3 linked regions of the Kluyveromyces lactis genome follow. The protein of the gene in region 3 purifies or fractionates together with the protein of the main gene of each other region. This does not show direct contact. Links are inferred from orthologs where the notes say so. Each region holds a gene or a part of one and is shown on either strand. Other genes may lie near its edges. The genes, in order: ERV41, KLLA0_D05863g and COP1.

Region 1 (6,472 bases), on a different chromosome or scaffold from region 3:
GAGAAGCTAAACCATTACTGTATAGATAACACAAACGGGCTAAATATAATATCCGTTCTAATTCGTGATTTGGGCTTTCAATTCGGGGTTTTATCGGAGACTAATGTAAAGATAACTGGTGATTCGTTCTGGATCATATACCAGACGTTAATCAATTCCTTCAATAAATTTTTAGAGGATGATAAAAGAGGAAACACTTTATTGAAAATGATCACCCCAAATGATCCGAACGAAATGGAACAATGGAAAACAAGACTATGGTTGATAAACATTTATGATGCTGTCAATGTTGTGTTGAAATGGACAGTAGTAGCTAACTGCATCTTAGCATCTCTATGTTTGATGCTTCTTCTTTTCTGGATGTGGATGCAAATCGAACACAAAAAGACACAAAGTCCAATCAAGCAATTGAATTGGAATATCAATTCAATCTGCTCAATAACTCGGTGTCTGAGTATTTGCAATGCAACAATTACTTTCATCTATATTCTTCACATATTGCTGCTTACCTTCATGATTAATTGTTTCCGTTACAAAAGACTACAAATTATCCACGCGTCTCTCGGAACGGGTGCATGGTTCCACATCGCGAGGTTCTTTGTGGAGCTAATATTTGCGGTGCTATGTTTCAAATGGATGACACCACACTCAGCCATGTCTGCATCAGTAATGAGCGAAACACAATCAACAGCCGTAGAAGATGAAGAAGAAAAAGATACTGAGGATAATTACAGCGCGCTAAATCCTGCTAGTGGGACTACTGCAGTCGATGGATTCCTGCTCACTGTGTAGATATGAACACTAAATATAGTCTTTTATAAACCGTCCATATATCAAGAGCTTTTCATAGGCCTTAGCGCCTACAAATCTACCGCCCTCATAGCTTCCTACTTAATCCCAAAACGATCGGCGTGTTCTCAGTATCGGAAAGTTTCCACTTCACTATCCAATATGAAATTTCGAAATTTCATGGTGAAATCTAATAGTGGAACATTTAAGTTAAGTAACTGAATTGAATGTTAAAGATGCATAAAAAACATTCAGTGTCTGTACCAGCTAACGGGCAACGGTCAAAAATTATTCTCAGCAATGGCAGGTCTTAGGACATTTGATGCGTTCCGTAAGTTCTTTTTTCTCCTATTTATAGAGGCCCCATGTTTGAAATAAAAAGGGCCTTCTCAAATTATATGAGTATACTAACATGCATACCAAACCTATGCGTTGCATTTCTTTATCACCAGCTAAAACCGATGAACAGCATGTGAAGACTTCATCCAAGGGTGGCCTTAGCTCCATTTTGACATATTTGTTTCTCTTATTCATCGCATGGTCCGAATTTGGTAGCTTTTTTGGAGGTTACATTGATCAGCAATATGTCGTGGACGACCAAATCAAGGAAACCGTTACTATTAACTTGGATCTCTACGTGAATATGGCATGTAAAAACATTAGAATTAATGCTAGAGATATTACTGGCGACCGTGGACTCATATCAGAGAACATTCAAATGGAAGGAATGCCATTTTACATCCCTGTGGGCACAAGAGTAAATGAGATGAACAATATTGTTTCACCGGACCTCGACGAAATACTTGGCGAAGCGATCCCAGCCCAGTTCAGGGAGGCTATTGATACGTCTGAGTTAACTGGAAGAGATGATTTTAATGGGTGTCACATATTTGGTTCAGTTCCTGTCAATAAAGTGAAAGGTGAATTACATATCACCGCTCACGGTTGGGGTTACCGGTCTGCCTCTGCCATTCCAAAGGACCAAATAAATTTCAATCATGTAATAAACGAACTTTCCTTCGGTGACTTTTATCCTTACATTGACAATCCTTTAGATAACACCGCCAAATTTTCGGATGAGAAGATCAAAGCATATTACTACTTTACCTCGATAGTACCAACACTTTACAAAAAAATGGGTGCCGAAGTAGATACCAATCAATATGCTTTGAGTGAAACAGAGTACGGAGAATCTAGTAAAGCTACCGGGGTTCCTGGTATCTTCATTAGGTATCAATTCGAACCCATGAAGATAATCATCAGTGATATGCGTATTGGATTCTTCCAGTTTATTATCAGACTCGTTGCAATCCTGTCATTCATCGTTTACACGGCATCTTGGATTTTCAGACTTGTAGACAAGTCACTAGTCCTAGCTCTTGGTCCTAAGTGGTCTCTTCACTATTCAAAAGATCAAAGTCCATCTCATGGGCTTTTAGATGAATAATTTATCTAAAAAGACTGATTACCAAAGAACTTTCAACTGTTATAAACCAGTTGGATAACGTAGCATAAATAGATGGTATGAAGGCATATTAAAGTGGTTCATTTTCAATTGGTTCAAATCTCTCTTTGGTTATAATTACGTACCTGTCGATAAATGCAAAATAGAAAAACAGTAACTTTTAATTATGTGCTTCACTCATGTGACTTCGACTTGATTTCATAAAACAACGATTATCAAGAGACCAATGCCTAACAACTTATCATCCCTTTCAGACACTGCTAACTATATCGACAAAGCTTCAAATGTTGATCCAAAAACAGCATCCCCTTGTTCCACGAATGCTCTCCCTTTAGACCTTCACAAATTAGCCGCCGAATGGCAGAGTGATAAGAAGAAAGAGGAGGTTCAAAGGCAAGTGTTGCAGAATGAATTCTTGAAAAGTGTTAAGGAAATCAGTAAGAGTCTGGTGAAGAATCAAAATGATAAGAGTCCTATATCACAATTAAATTGGGATCAGATGTACGACGTTTCTGCAGAATTAATGGATCAATACAGTAAGGAGATGGAACAGATCTTAGCTGAACTTGATGAGGTATATAAGAAGCATTTCATGTGGCAAGAGGCGGCATTTACTATTGATTCACATAGAGGTGCCACGAGAATAGCCAATGCTGAAATGTGGATGAAATCTAAAGAAGCATACTTACAATACACAAGAAAAGAACTCGATACTTCGGCAAAAGTCATTAAAACCACCATAGAAGATCTTTCCAAGAGATGAAAGTCATTATTTTGCTACCCTTTGTTGTCTGTCCCAACGCATTCGATCAATAATCATCAGCGCCAGGCATACCTTCAAAAATCTGACCATACATTCGGAATCTCGATCCACAAAATGAGATTACGAATCATCCGGGTTCAAGGCAATAACACAGAAGAAACGAAACGGCATCATGCAGACATAACAACTCATCTTGTTACATCCTTCCAATTTTTATACGATTGTTTCATATTTCGGACATTACTGCATATTCAAGTCCTTTTCCGGCAGGACTAATTCCAACATTTGTTTCGCTAAATACGCATCTACTTCAAATTCCATTGTTCTTCAGCAGAATTTCATTATTTCGAGCCGCTTTTTTGTTCTAGAGGCACAGTTTCATCTGCATATTCTTCCAAAAATGCTACCGTTATCGCCTTTGGTATTCCACATTGGTTGTGTTTGCCGTGCCATGCGTGCAAACAATTAGAACAAAACACTATATCATACGCCTTACAGCGTACAATGTTTCATCCAACGTATCATTAACACACCGAGCATCTCACCTAGAATATATATCACATGAATAAGGATTGTACTGGTATATTTCAACAAGGCACCTGGCTTGTGCAACGTTCCGTAGCTAATAATGTCAGCATCAGTTAATATAATCCTTCGAAGAAACCGTAGGGAAGAGCGGGAGCAAACAATGCATCTTCCAAACTATCAAATTTATCAAAAGCACTAAGGTCGATAGGATTATATGAGCATTCAGGACATCATACATTTTCAATTCTTTCCTCATCAATCATAGTATGATAAAATTCCTTCAGGCTTTCTCCACACAACAAGGCTTAGTACAGGGAAGTTTTACCATTTTAGAACCTTTTCTCTATTCAATACAAATGCAACAGTTGAAGTTCGGTCATTTCATACAACGAGATCCCTGCTCACCTTTGATGTTCAGAGAAGTATCTCACTGGTTAGCATCATGACTGGTATAGATGTTTTCTTCGCTGGTCAAAGTCGAAAGAGCAGCATGTGACAACTATCAGGAATAATTTAAACCAATGGAATTTTGTCTTCAACACACGTTTTACCAAACTCGCTTGCCATGTATTTATCTATATTTGTCATGTCATCCTGAGTCATTCATGCTGAGTTCAAAGTCAATTCCGACCCTTCATTGTCGTTTAGCTATGAATCTTTTCTTATAGTGAAAAAGAAACTATTCCCGGACAATTCGTCAACTCCAGGAATCTCTATGATATATTCTATAGTTAAGGTACCGTCTGTAGCTATCATACTAATATCTAATATACCTCGAATGTATGAAGCGAGTTATCTTGGATCAAAATTTCTTTGTGCATTCATTTCATCATTCTAGTTCTTGATTTAAGGATCTTTCACCAGAAGTCATAGAATAACTCTTACAGAACCATTAAATGATTGAAGCATGAAAAAAGCAGTCGATACTTTTACGGGCTTAGCAAAATTATCCTTCTCTCAACCCTTTGAAGTTTAGTTCTCTGGATGGGACCCTTATTCTTTTGTCAAGCCATTTAGATGTACTAAAAATTAAAGAACTAGTCAATCAAACAAAAGAAAGACACATTATTCGACAAATACCGCGAGGAGTGTATATAGTTTTTTATTTATTTATTTGTACTAATACATGATATATGAGTTTTTCATTCCAACTTGGCTTTCTTGGAAGGTCTTTCAGACTTTGAGGTTTCACCTTCTGAATCGGAGGCGGATGCTTCTGAATCAAATTCTTCAGCGACATCGTCATCTTCGTCGGACGCATGGAAATCTTCATCTACAGATTCTTCATCCTCACCTGCAGAACCCATGTTAATATCTACATCATCATCATCGCTGTCTGAGCCGAAGGCAGTCTGCAGTCTCTGTTCTGCTTCCTTATCTTCGTTCTTTACCCTCAAGTTTTTGGACCTCAAGAATGTCTCTAGAAGTTGTTGTTCCTCTTTAGAAATATTAGCAAAAGTAGTAGTACCTCTATTGGCACGCATAACAACTTCCAAATCGAATGTTCTGGCTGATGTAGATGTCTGACCAGCTCTTGAAATATTGACCGCAGCAATATCTTGGAAGGGTATATATAGGGTTGGTTTCGTCAAGAACAAAAACGCATTGTCCAATGGGTATAAGTGGCCTTCATTGACTTTGTATGAACAGGATACCGCGCATTGGTCATACTTAGACTTGTATTCACCAGGAACAATGACTCTTCTTCCTGTCAAACCCTTTAAGACATGACTTAGTACAATGTGAGTTTTAGCATCGTATTGTTTCTTTAGTTTATCCTTGTAAAGCTTTTCGAACTCATCATCTTCCACATTTAGTTGGACTTCTGTTTCCTCGTCCTTCTGGAATTGTAACACCAAGAATGGGTAGGATGTCTGACCTTGACGGATTGGTGGATCAATCGATAAAACCATCAAGTAATGGATGTCGTCAGCTTTTGGCAAAGAGAAGATTCTGTTTATTTGACGATGTTGTAACTTGTACTCATAAGTCTTACCTCTAAGTCTGATAGAGTTTTTGTAGATATCAATGTCGTAACGGCCTCTTGGCGTAGTGAAGAACAGATCCTGGAAAGAAATGATGGCATCACCAGAAATTTCACCGATATCTGCCTTAGATCTCAATTCTTCGTAGAAATATTCTGCTAAAGTCTTCTCTTCTTGAACGTCTGGTTCTTCACTACCCTCTTCCGTCTTAACCTCCGACTTAACACCGTCTTCTGCTTCTGCTTCGTCCTTTACCATGATTTGATCTTGATCTTCATTTTCTTCAACTGTGCCTGGAACATATAACCTCATTTCAACAAGTTCATCACCTGCAGGATTATATGCCTCATTTTGGGTGTCAAATTCTAATGCAATCTCATTTTTTGCTGTTAAATTAGTGTTATTGATGTGCGTGTAAGGGATTTCAAAAGTTGGCTTACCGTTCAATGAAAAAACCATTTCGTTTCTAGCTAAGTCCAATTTACCCCAATTCCAACCACGTAAAGAATGTTCCCTGTGCTCTAATTGCATGTTGAATCTACGTTGGAAGTCATTCTTCAATAGGTTGAAATCCTCTTGTTGGAACCCATCCATTTGAATCAATCCCTTATTCTTAGTACTAATTTTCAATTCGTAGCCTCTACATCCTCTACTCCATTGAACGGAAGAAACCTCATCTGCAGCCAATAGCAAAGGTTCATTATTTTGAGTAGAGGCTGACCCACCTGTAGCGGATGCCTTCCAACCAAGACCTCCTTCAGCTAGACGGAAACGTCCACCGAGCTTGGATTGGTTGTAATAAATTCTATCGAAATCTGTACTCATTCTCCACTATCCCAATATAAGAAATAAAAAGTAGGTATCCAAGACGAAGATCACTAGATTTCAGTAATACTGACCTGTCTAACGTAAACTATGGGCTAACAACTCTGCCTACCGTTA
Region 2 (6,897 bases), on a different chromosome or scaffold from region 3:
ATACGAAGGCTCAAAAATTGATTGAACTCAATTTAGATAATAAATATGTTGCTATCGTAGGAGGAACGGGCGGTATTGGCCGTGAGTTGGCAAGAGTGTTGGCACAAAAGGGTGCTAAAGTCATCGTTGTTGGTAGAACGTTCAGAGACGAAAATGTTGAAGGTATTGAATTTATCCAGGCTGACCTAGGTTTGGTGTCAGAGGCATCCAGAGTTGCGGAATTGTTACCTGCTGAAAAGTTGGATCTTCTTATCTTCACTACGGGAGTTTTGGCTCCTCCAGCGAGACGTGAGACTAGCGAAGGTCTAGAAGAAGATTTGGCCGTCAGTTATATCAGCCGACTAGTGATGATGAATCATTTGGTACCCAGATTGAAGGAACATGGTGAGAAAAAACCTCGCGTATTTGTAATGGGTTTCCCCGGTGATAACTATATGGGAGATTATAGAGATTTGAATTCAGAAGAATCTTACGGAGCTATTTCCACACATATGAAAACAGTAGCCGGTAATGAAGCTCTAGTTTTGGACTTTAAGAATAGGTTTGCTACTGTCAATTTTTATGGGTTGAATCCGGGGCTCATCAGGACAAATATTAGAGATAATTACCTTGGTAAAGACACTTGGAAGTCAAGAGTGGTAGAATGGTTCATAGGTATGACAAATCAGACTGCAGAGCAATACGCTGAAAAGTTAGGCCCCTTGCTAGTTGCCCCAGAATTGGAAACTCATTCAGGCGCCATGTTTGACAAGAATGCTAACCCGATCCTTCCATCAAAAGATTTTACTGATGATTACGCCAGGAATTATATCAAGGCCTCAGAAGAACTTCTTGCAAATCTTAAGTTGGCTCAATGAATGACACTACCAACATCTGAAGCCACCGGCACTATTATCTAAGAATCCCGTTTTATTCCTATATTTTAGATACGTTAGTTTGTATGTAACCTAACTGTCGGGTATTTGCTGTGTCAGTTGCTGGTCATCACGTGATCAGTATCTTTATGTATTTTCCATTGTTTTGAAATTGGGTCTTTTCAACATGTAATCTAACTATCGAATGCCTGTCATTAACATAAACGTAAACATATGCATATCTTTCAAAGTACATCGTGAAAGAATTCAATAGACGGTATAAGCTGCGACACTTTCATCCATCCTAATTATATTTGGAACACCACGAGACCTTTCTGGCTGTTGAACAGGATACGTTTATTTGTTTATCTTCACATGCTGGAAAAATGGACTCCAGTACTAACTCATCTGTCACTGCTCAGGTGAATCCGGTGCCAGAATATGTCATAAAGAACCATGAGCTTTTTATTTTGAAAACCACATTATCAATACTCAATAACCCTGAATTACTCTCCGGCAGACTTGACAAGCCACCAACAAAGCAACTTGTACTACCTTCGTTCACCATTAAGGAAAGGTTATCAGACAACAATGACTCTTATGTTTTGGGAAAGGGTGATCAAAATGGGGAAACGAAGGTTGATAAACAAGGACGGTTACATGGAGAAAGGCATTACTTGTTTCCTACTTTCACTTATCCATGTGCGGAAAACAATAATTCGGAAAATTTGTACGTCTTAGTACGGGATTTGATTAGAGTCTTGAATCTAGATGTGGAACAACAAGAGTTTTTGGCTCAGCATCCAGACCTTTACCCAATTAATGCAAAACATGATATTATCGAATTTTTGACCCAGTATAAACTTTTACCTGAAGGTGCTACTGCTGCAACATATATCACAGCTAGATCTGCTTTTCTTGTCTTTGGAGCTGCTATACTAGCATCCGGATCAAGAGTGATAGATGATTACTGGGAACAACTATCCAAAGAACAGGGCTTCCAAGCGCAGCACAGAGTATACGCACTCTCTCAAAAACTTCTCGACATGGTATGTTCGATCGATCCAAGGACTAGAACAGCACATTCTTTAGGTCCACCTGAGCTTCCTGAATCGAAGCAAGCACAAGCGGGCGTTATGTCCACATCACAACCGCAATTCGAAGACCCGTTTTCAACCATTACGGAACTACCGCCTTTAGAAGCACGTAAAGAGTTCTTAAGTAATATTGCTCATGGTGAGCAAACTGCAATCATATCGGGTCAAACTATACATGGAGCAATCGAGTTGAGTACTATTTACAAAATTCCAAAATACCACTATAAGAATTCCTTCGCCGCTGCTCAACAACACAATGTTCTAGATTCCCCGATTGGAACGCACACCCACCCGGTAGAATCTCATAACTTTGGTAGAGGACGTAAAGCTAACTATGTTCCCCCGGAGGAGACAGATGTGTTGGCTCAAATTCCTGGATGGAAATTTACGCAGCTACCAGTTACAACAAATGATGAGTTACCTACAACTTTCAGTGCTGGAGGGTTACCGATATATAATAAGGCGAGACTTCCTGCAAGGTTAAAACTATTGACGCCAAACCAAATAAAAGATTTAGAACGATCCCATGATGTTGTTCATTTGAATACAGCTCTTGGCCATGTCCGAAAGTTAAGAAACACCCGTTGGACTAAATTTTGGCAGTATAAGGCCGGTGCACCTGTTGGCCTTACGGAGGATCAACTTTCGTATTACAAAGAGCAATATCTACAGCAAGTTTTGAACCATGTTGATGTGAGCATTGTGCCAAACGAAACGAAGAATGTAGATGAAAAGCGTACCGTTAAGCGAGTACCGAATCCAAATTTTTTGGGATACTCCAATGTGTCAGGGTTTAGGCCACCTTATGTTGAAAAACCTTAGAATAATAATGCAACTTCATCTATATCGAACTAAATACTGCTAGTAGAAAGCTATGCAATAAAGCTGCAGATATATATAGAGGATAATTCATTATAACAATTTAACTTTAACAATGTCTTGACGAATTTTGAAAGTGTAGTATGCCATAACTAAAACGATTAGTATTAGAGGCAAAATCCACATTAAGAGTCTCTTGACGATTTCGTCAACTGAAACGCCATTTCCAGCATTTTCCATGCTTTGTTTGGTGGCCTCTCTAATCTTTGCTTGATCCTGAAGTAATTGCTCCAACTTATCATTCATAACAAAGAGGTCCTTGAAGGATTCTGTATTTACTTCACCTTCTTTACCCATTGAAGCCACAATAACTTCTAAAGTAGTTGATAGATATTCTAGCTTTCTCAAGTGCGCTGCTTGATTTTCCAAGATGCCAATTAATTTACCGTTTATCACGCTGATGTCATTGGCTAATATCTTGCCCTCAATCTTATCCAATTTCTTGTAAAGTTCGTAGTTGTCCACCTTATTTGCTAAACCCTTCATTTTCATGAAATCTGTTTCTACAACGTCTTCTTTACCAGTATCCTTGTTGATAATCTTTGTTACCAATCTAGGCTGTTCCATAGGGTTAACATTTGGAATTGTAACTTCTTTAGTAAGACCGTTATGAGTATGTACCTTCAGGACTTCAAATGATTCCTTGTTAGCATCATTCTTTGCAGTGATACCCATCTTCATTTTCGCATTTTGTGGGAATTGAATTTGTCTGGTTTGGAAACACACCCTATTATCGACTTGAAGTTTCAATAGGTTATTGTTCTTCCTATCATAACTCAATCTGATAGTGGTTGGAATAGTAGTATCCTGATAGGCTAACAAACAATAGGCAAAAGAATGATCGTACACATTTTTTTCAGTCAATTTCTTAGACCCGTCGTTCAAGATACCACGAACAGAACTACCCACGGGCCCATTGGAATCCACCAAAATTTGAAGCCCATCAAACGCCTCTGGTCCACCGAATAAAGAAGTTCCTCCTGCACTTTTACCCTCCACTAACCAGAAGGACAACCCACCTTCAGATTTCCCTATAAAATCAACACTTCTGAAAGTCCATTCTATGGTGAAGGAGTCCTTAATTTGATAATCAGTCTTGTGCCAAATCGAACTTTGACTGGATGCACTTGGTGTTAAACGAAGTCTCCCTTCCTCCAAAACCAAACCTCCGCTGGTCTTCCAATCTGAAGGCACGGCATTCATGTGAACCAAATCAGGTAAAGAATGACTGGCATCTAGTATATCGTTATCAGACACGGCACTTTCATGTAATTCCGCTTCTGCAATTGCAGCTGCATTTGCAACGGTAATGTATGCGAACAATACAGCCAACCAGTGGACAAACATCTTTTGTTTCAAACGATGTGTGCTGCCCTACACTATTAAGATTGAATTCACTCTACAATAGAATAACAAGAGCAATATCCAATTCACAATACTTGTTCAACAAGGGTTGTAGGTTCCTTCTCGTTTGTTAAAAGAACGTCAATAAACTTATTTTCTTCCATAATTGATTCGATTCAAAATTCGGGTTTCATATCAAGAAAAGGAATATGACAAGACTTAGTATTAACACAAAGAATTACATGAGCTTACCACTGCAACGTTTCAAGCCGCCTAAAAATGTACTTGTGATCCTGTATTAGTTATTTATATAGTTATGAATTACAGTTATTCGTTATAAAGGTAGATTTTCAGTTCTTGTAACATTTATTTATGTCTCACAATCTTTGCATGACGTATTTTGATCATCTGTGGAGCATTGATTGATCTTTTCCGATACTAGAGTTTCTTTAGCCGAGGAAGATTTTGATTTCCTGTCGATATGGGCCCCTATGGCCACTTCATCATTGAAAATAAGAGCCTTTACCCGTTGTTTTAAATATTTACTGTCAGGAAATCCATCGTCCACGACTCTGTCCCAAATTACTATCGGTTGAGAACCTTCCGTTTGGTATCCAAGAACTTTGAATTCGCCTGGTTCGCCTGGAATCAATGAAATCTCTTTCAATTCAGATCCAAACGTTTGTAGAAGTTCTTGGACGTACCATGCACTCCGGAGATTCCATTTACATTTAGTGCAGAATACAATTGAAACTTTGGGGAATGGCATCTGTTTGAAAAGTAATAAAATAGATACCTTGAGTTATTCACCAACTATCTGTCAATGAAATTGCCTCAACATATGATGTTACTTCAAATTTTGGTGCTATGTATGAGTGTATGTATTTACATTCTCCAAATTTAACAGTTCCAGTTTGAGGAATCGATAATCTAATTTTAAACCGTTAAATTCAAGACTTATGAAACCTTTAAAAACGTAGATGACAACATAGTAAAAGAAGATGAAAGGTCCATCCAGCAACCTCGACCGATACCAATGCCATCATTTGCGGAGAGCTTTTGGTCTCCGGATTTTATAAGTGGGATTGAAGCGCTCTTTGGGAAGTTGCATAAAGGTTGTGATCAAAATGACCTTTTTATCCAGCTTTTCGCTTCAAGAATGCAGTATGAAGTTGAGTTTGGAAGACACTTGTGCAATATCAACAAAGGTGTTGATGAGTTCGATGCATTAGACTCTACATGTAACTCGTCACTAGCGGGTATGATTGGGCAAATGGTGGAGGAAGGTAACCATCATTTGAAGATCGCCTCTACCATTGAGATGACCGTTTTGGGTCCCTTTACAAAGTGGAGACAAGAACATAAACAACGAGTACAATATTCAGAAAAGATATTGAAAACAAATGCGAGATCATTCCTTAAGTCAAAAGGGTTTGTTGAGAAACTGGAGCAGACCTATTTGAACAAATGTAGACTACTCGAGGATTTTAAAAGATCTACATTCAATGAAGATGAATTATCTGACGCTATGAAATCTCTAGATCTGCAGAGAGAACATGAAGCCAAGGTGTTGCAAGAAAAGGAATACCAGAAATTTGGTGTGTTTGGTGGTATTGACTACGATTATAAGGGTATAAAGGAAACTTTGAAACTTTTATTGACAAAGCTACCAAAGCATCAATATAAAGTTCCCTTCATCTCTTTTACCATCGAAAACACCAACAGTGGTAGTGAAATCGTTGCTTTTTTGATGACACACATGTCTCTAAAGGACATTGATCATGCAGAGTTGTTTGGTCAGGATTTATTGAACCATGGTTTTATCAAATACTGCAACGGTGTTGGTACAACTTTCGCCAACTCGAAAAAATTTCAATATCAGTGGAAACCGTACGCTTATAAGTTTTGCAACCTATCCACCACAGATGCAAACGATGATTCCCTCAATGAAGCTGAAAGTGGGATAGTGAACTATTTCCAAAAGATGACCGCTGGGAATGAGGCTACTTACTCATCAATTCATCAACCAAACTTCTCCGATAACGAAAAGAAGTTATACAAATTTGTAAGAGACGTGGAGGTTTCTGATTCCAAGTATATGAAAGAATGCAAAAAATTGGATTCGTTACGGTGTTCGTTTGAAGAGTTGATTGTAGATCATTATACATTCATGGAGAAGTGTGAATCAGATAGATTAATGGCAATACGCAAAGTAACTCTAGACTTTTGTGCGGCAATCGGAAATACAATTTCTTCAATGAAGTTAACTATTGAAAAACTGACCGACAGTGAGGCATTGATTGACCCCGCAGCTGACTTATTGAAAACCATTGAAGAAAACAGAGTTGGTTTCTTTCAACCTCGCGTCATTCCGTACAACAACTACTATAACCCAGGTAGTTATCAAACCTTTGGTATCGATTTAGAAACAAGATGTAGAAGTGACAATAGACTAGTGCCATTGATTCTCTCTGCAATCTTACTATATATGGACCAAGCATACCCTGAAATGGAAAATGATTATAAGAGAGCTATTGTATGGACAAAGCCTGTTAAACTTCACGAAGTTCATCAACTAAGGCAACTTTTAATCAAGCCATTCAAAGAAGAGTCTGAAATCATCGAAATATTACGATCTAAAAAGGTTGAACCATCAACAGTAGCTAGCGTATTCAAAATTTATTTGCTCGAATTACCAAAATCGCTTATAACAGAGGATGCGT
Region 3 (5,701 bases):
GCAACAGATTGTCGCACGTCAAATTATGAGAAATCAAGCCAACCTATAAAAGCAGAAGGAGAAGGATCTAAAAATCACGACTATCATGTTCAAGAATTTACATCCGTGATCAATGACACTATCATTGGCAGCTTGTCTTGATCTACTACACCTCAAATTGTATCTGTATTCATAAACAAAAAAAACGCAGAAATTGGTTACTAGCATCGCAATGCTTTCTACTATTTTGTTATGGATTTCCTGTTGCACAATTTCAACTTTAGCACAAGAAGCTACTAGGTATTTCCCAGAAACTCCAATAGGCTGCTCTCTTGAAAATAATTGTCCTGCAGAATGGCCATGTTGCTCACAATTTGGACAATGCGGTACGGGTCCTTTTTGTGTTGGAGGTTGTAACCCAAGATTATCTCACGATCCAGGTAGTTGCTTAGGACAACCAGCATTATTACCACGAATGTCGCCTAGCTTCTGGTTGCAAAGCTCACTGGAGCAAAAACCTGCTCTAAAAAGTAGCTTTCTGCCTAGAGTACAACCCAGTATGGACGTTGCATCGAATGAAGGTGGAGAAAAGGACTTGAATAATAGAGGTATAGTTAATTTCGCTAACTTCCTAATATCACCACAAGAACGAATCATTAAGAAAATGTTAAGAGACTATCATTTCACGTACAGTGGATTTGTTAAATACGATGCACCTGGTCAATTGACTCTTGCTATGCCTAAACATACTTCGGGAAGTTTAATATCATCCACAAGATCTTTTCTATACGGTAGAGCTACCGTAAAAATGAAAACAGCTAGAGGTCGCGGAGTTGTTACTGCAGTGGTATTAATTTCAACTGTAGGTGATGAAATTGATTTTGAATTTATTGGAGGAGAATTACATCATGCTCAATCTAATTATTATCACCAAGGTGAATTAAATCACACAAGGATGGAAAAGCTAGAACTAAGTTCTGACAGTTTTGAAAATACTCATATTTACGAAGTCGATTGGGACCAAGATAGAATCAACTGGATTGTGGACGGTGTAGTAGCTAGAACATTATACAAGGAAGATACATGGAATGAGGAAAAACAAAGATACGAATATCCACAAACACCAATGAGATTGCAAGTGTCGGTGTGGCCAGGTGGAAGAGAAGATGCTGACCCTGGTACCATAATGTGGGCTGGAGGGCTCATTGATTGGGAAAACTCGCCCGATATACTTGAGAAGGGTCAATTTTATGCAACTGTGGAATCAATAGCCGTTACACCTTACGAAAACAAATTCTGGCCATCAATAGTTGATGAACTAGAAAGATTACATTTACCTATTGATGCTAATTCATTGTTAGATATTACTTACGATTACAATTATGACAAGTTTAATGAGCATACGTGGTTTGAAGATTCAGTCATTTGGAAGAAGGGCAAATTACCTTATTTATCTTCCTTGGACAAGAATGGCCTAAATCCGGGAAGACAGCAACAAAGTCTTTTGGTAGGTAAACAATTGAAGCAAGAGCAGGGAGATGGGCCGGATCAGAGTCCTTCAAACAGGTTTATTCAAGACACTAATAAACCATCGGAAAAAAATCATGAAGAACAAGATTTGCTCCTACGAAACGCTCTGCAGTCACGCGATGCTACCACAAATGGGGGTTCCAGTCACAATAACAGAAATCCTATCAAAAGATTGCTTAATATGCTACATTAATCAGTAAAGGTTGCCCAGATGTTCACATCTACACTATACATGTATAGATATATAGACCTATGTATACCACTCTCGTATATGCTATCTCTTCTAGCATTCTCTTACGCATAGAATCTGTAGAGATGCGTCTGGCACAAATTCGGGTAATTATTACCCTACCATTACGTCCTTTGCATACTCTTCGGATTCTTCCAATTTTCAAAAAGGACAACTTTTCAAATAAAACACGATCTTATTTCAAAATAGTAAGCCATATGTGTATTTTAAGTAATTTTATGAACCTTGAATGAAGCTGACTTTGGCTAATAAACAACGATCAAGGTACTTTGTCGTCTAATTGAGTTGTCAGTGAGGACTAACCATCGAAGGAAAGCTTCAATCGTAACCAATTGGTATATTGTTAACTGCAATTGTGACGTTTTCTTCCGAGTTATTCTTCTTATATTTCTCACAGTTTTTACTCAGATTTAGATCGAAGTCTTGAAAAGCTTGCTTTCATCATGAAGATGTTAACTAAGTTCGAATCAAAGTCTACCAGGGCGAAAGGTATTGCTTTTCATCCGTCTAGGCCTTGGGTTCTGGTAGCACTTTTCTCATCAACCATCCAATTATGGGATTACCGTATGGGTGTTTTGCTTCACCGTTTTGAAGATCATGAGGGTCCGGTACGTGGCATTGATTTCCATCCAACGCAACCTCTTTTCGTTTCTGCAGGTGATGATTATACTATCAAAGTATGGTCTTTAGAGAGCAACAAGTGTCTATTCACATTGGACGGCCATTTAGACTATGTTCGTACAGTATTCTTCCATCACGAATTGCCATGGATTATTTCCAGTTCCGACGATCAAACCATCAGAATCTGGAACTGGCAGAACAGAAAGGAAATAGCATGTTTAACTGGCCATAACCACTTCGTAATGTGTGCCCAATTCCATCCAGTCGAAGATTTGGTGGTTTCTGCTTCTTTGGATGAAACCGTTAGAGTTTGGGATATTTCAGGGCTAAGAAAAAGACATTCCGCACCAGGCACTCAATCATTCGAAGAACAAATGAGACAGCAACAGAACTTACTTGACGGAGGATTTGGAGATTGTGTGGTGAAGTTCATTTTAGAAGGCCACACTAGAGGAGTAAATTGGGCTTCTTTCCATCCAACTTTACCATTGATCGTTTCCGGTTCTGATGATCGTCAAGTGAAATTGTGGAGAATGAGTGCCACAAAGGCATGGGAGGTCGATACTTGTAGAGGTCATACCAACAACGTTGATTCCGTCATTTTCCATCCTCAACAGAATCTCATTATATCAGTTGGTGAGGATAAAACCGTAAGAGTATGGGACTTGGACAAGCGTACTCCAATTAAACAGTTCAAAAGAGAAAATGACAGATTCTGGTTAGTGAGAGCTCACCCAAACCTAAATCTGTTCGGTGCTGCTCATGATTCTGGTATTATGATCTTTAAGTTGGACCGTGAAAGACCACCAACTGCTATAAACCAAAATCAGTTGTTCTTTATCAACAGGGAGAAACAAGTCCAAATGTTTGATTACCACAAGAGAATCACTTCTCTACCTTATCTTTCTTTGAAAAACATCGGCAAGACCTGGAGTTCATTTAGAAGTATGTCTTATAACCCATCCCAACATTCCGTCCTTGTCAACTCCTCCGAAAAGGAAGCCAACAGGTTCAGCTTATGTGTCTTACCTAAACAACCTAGTGGAGCTGTTGAAGCTAGCAACGTCATCTCTGATGATGGTAGTTTTGCGATCTTCGTTGCTCGTAACAGATTTGTGGTGCACAATGGCAGCACTAATAGCTTGGAGGTTCGTAGTTTAGATAACAAAACCACAAAGTCAATCAAATTAACTGATACTGTTAAAGACATCACATTAGCTGCTCCTGGTACTGTTTTGATTCTATATTCTCATTCTGTGGTAATGATGGACGTCCAACAAGGTAAAATTCTTCATGAATTATCTTTAAAGAACATCAAGTATACAGTGTGGTCTCAAGATGGCCAATATGTTGCATTGATGAGTAAGCATACATTGACAATCGCAAACAGAAAACTGGAAATCGTTACATCAAACCATGAAAGTATTAGAATCAAGAGTGCAAGTTGGGATGAAACCGGTGTCCTAATTTATTCAACATTGAACCATATCAAATACTGTCTATTGAATGGTGATTCTGGTATCATTAAAACCTTAGAAAGAACATTATACATCAACAAGGTACATGGCAAATTTGTCTATGCTTTGAATCGTGAAGGGGAAGTAGAGATTTTGACAATTGATCCTACTGAATATCGTTTCAAGAAGACTTTAGTCAACAAAAATTTCCCTGAGGTATTGCGTATCATTAAAAATTCAAATTTAGTTGGTCAAAACATCATATCTTATCTTCAAAAATCAGGCTATCCTGAAATTGCGTTACAATTCGTGGAGGATCCTCAAACAAGATTTGATTTGGCTACACAATACGGTAATTTGACAGTTGCTCTTGAAGAAGCTGAGAAATTGAACAATGAACTTGTATGGGAAAGATTGGGCAAAGAAGCTTTGATCCAAGGTAACACAGATATCGCTGAATTGGTATATCAAAACACTAAGCAGTTTGATAAACTGTCTTTCCTATATCTACTTAAGGGAGACAACTCCAAACTGGCAAAAATGGAGTCTATTGCTGAACATAGATCAGATATTTCCGGCTTGATTCAAAATACCTTTTACAATAACTCAGTTCAGAAGCGTGCAAATGTCTTTTTAAATGCAGGCTCTGCTCCTTTGGCTTATGCAGTGGCAAAAGCTAACGGCGACGATGACCTTGCCACTTCCATTTTGGAATCCGAAGAAATTGATGAGCAAGACATTTCCCTACCAACTGAACTCAACTCCTCCACAAATGTAAAAACCCCTGTCATTTCTGCTCCTTTGAAAAACTGGCCGTTAAAGCAAGCTGAAGTCTCATTCTTTGAAAAAGCCCTTTTGGGCCAAATCGAAGATCTTGAAATTTCTGATGATAAGGAAGAAAATGTTTCAGATACTACCCAAAATGTTGGCCAGTTTGATTTAGGAGAACAAGATAACCTAGACTTTGATGATGAAGCTGTTGGAGAGGAAGAAGATGCTTGGGACCTAGACCAAAATGATTTGGAATTAGACGACGAGTTAGAGATCGAAGAATCCGAAGTGACTGAAGAACAAGTAGATGAATCAGAATTGCCAATGTGGGTTAAAAATTCAAAGCTTCCAGCAGTTCTAGTAGCCGCTGGAGCCTTTGATGCTGCTGCCCAAGCCTTGAATAAGCAGGTAGCCGTTGTAAACTTCGAACCCCTCAGGACACCATTCATTGATATATACGATGGTGCAAGAACTTATATGAGTGCTACACCAAATGAATTACCTTCAATTATTGGATACATCCGAGCTGATGCCGATGAGGAGGACAAATCTAAAATACTACCATTTGTTCCTGGCGTTTCTGTAGTCACCACGAAGTTGAACGAGGGATTCAAAGCATTTAAGGCTAACAAATTGGAAGTTGCTATCGAGCACTTCCGAGACGTTATCTATGCCATAGCTTTGTTAGCAGTTACTGACAAAGAAGATGAAACAACAGCACAAACTGCACTTGCAACTGCTCGTGAATACATCTTAGGTCTTTCTATGGAGCTAGAACGTCGTGCTCTACCTGCCAATGACGTTAAGCGTAACCTGGAATTGGCAGCATACTTCAGCAGGACAAAACTTCTACCTGTGCATAGAAGTAATGCTTTGAATGTTGCTATGACCCAATCATTCAAAAACAAGAACTTTGTATTAGCATCCTATTTCGCAGGCGAATTCCTCAAGATTATTACATCAGGTGCCCGTGCTGACCAAGCTCAGAAAATCAAAGCAAAGGCTGATTCGATGGCATATGATGCCATCGAGATTGATTTCGATCCTTATGCTGAATTTGATATCTGTGCAGCTTCACATACCCCAATTTACA

The links.
Region 1: the proteins of COP1 (region 3) and ERV41 purify together in Saccharomyces cerevisiae (affinity purification with mass spectrometry; 3 studies listed by BioGRID). This does not show direct contact. The link is inferred for Kluyveromyces lactis from reciprocal best matches to the Saccharomyces cerevisiae genes COP1 and ERV41.
Region 2: the proteins of COP1 (region 3) and KLLA0_D05863g purify together in Saccharomyces cerevisiae (affinity purification with western blotting; 3 studies listed by BioGRID). This does not show direct contact. The link is inferred for Kluyveromyces lactis from reciprocal best matches to the Saccharomyces cerevisiae genes COP1 and EMP47.

Annotation. Positions count from the first base shown.
Region 1 is NC_006038.1:446,015-452,486, reverse strand, and holds ERV41 (Erv41p), read left to right. Parts: upstream 1-1,089; coding exon 1,090-1,120; intron 1,121-1,241; coding exon 1,242-2,236; downstream 2,237-6,472. Other genes in the region: SMA2 (Sma2p), read left to right, coding at 1-792; GMC2 (Gmc2p), read left to right, coding at 2,481-3,017; FACT complex subunit POB3, read right to left, coding at 4,688-6,355. UniProt on the Saccharomyces cerevisiae protein: Constituent of COPII-coated endoplasmic reticulum-derived transport vesicles. Required for efficient transport of a subset of secretory proteins to the Golgi. The C-terminal Ile-Leu motif is required for exit from the endoplasmic reticulum.
Region 2 is NC_006040.1:499,786-506,682, reverse strand, and holds KLLA0_D05863g (uncharacterized protein), read right to left. Parts: upstream 4,178-6,897; coding exon 2,864-4,177; downstream 1-2,863. Other genes in the region: KLLA0_D05907g (putative short-chain dehydrogenase/reductase), read left to right, coding at 1-857; SWP82 (Swp82p), read left to right, coding at 1,241-2,773; KLLA0_D05841g (SelT/SelW/SelH family protein), read right to left, coding at 4,545-4,943; GTPase-activating protein RGD2, read left to right, coding at 5,211-6,897. UniProt on the Saccharomyces cerevisiae protein: Involved in the secretion of glycoproteins and in nucleus architecture and gene silencing. Required for the endoplasmic reticulum exit of EMP46.
Region 3 is NC_006042.1:478,184-483,884, reverse strand, and holds the start of COP1 (coatomer subunit alpha), read left to right. Parts: upstream 1-2,202; coding exon 2,203-5,701. Other genes in the region: CRR1 (putative glycosylase), read left to right, coding at 212-1,702. UniProt on the Saccharomyces cerevisiae protein: The coatomer is a cytosolic protein complex that binds to dilysine motifs and reversibly associates with Golgi non-clathrin-coated vesicles, which further mediate biosynthetic protein transport from the ER, via the Golgi up to the trans Golgi network.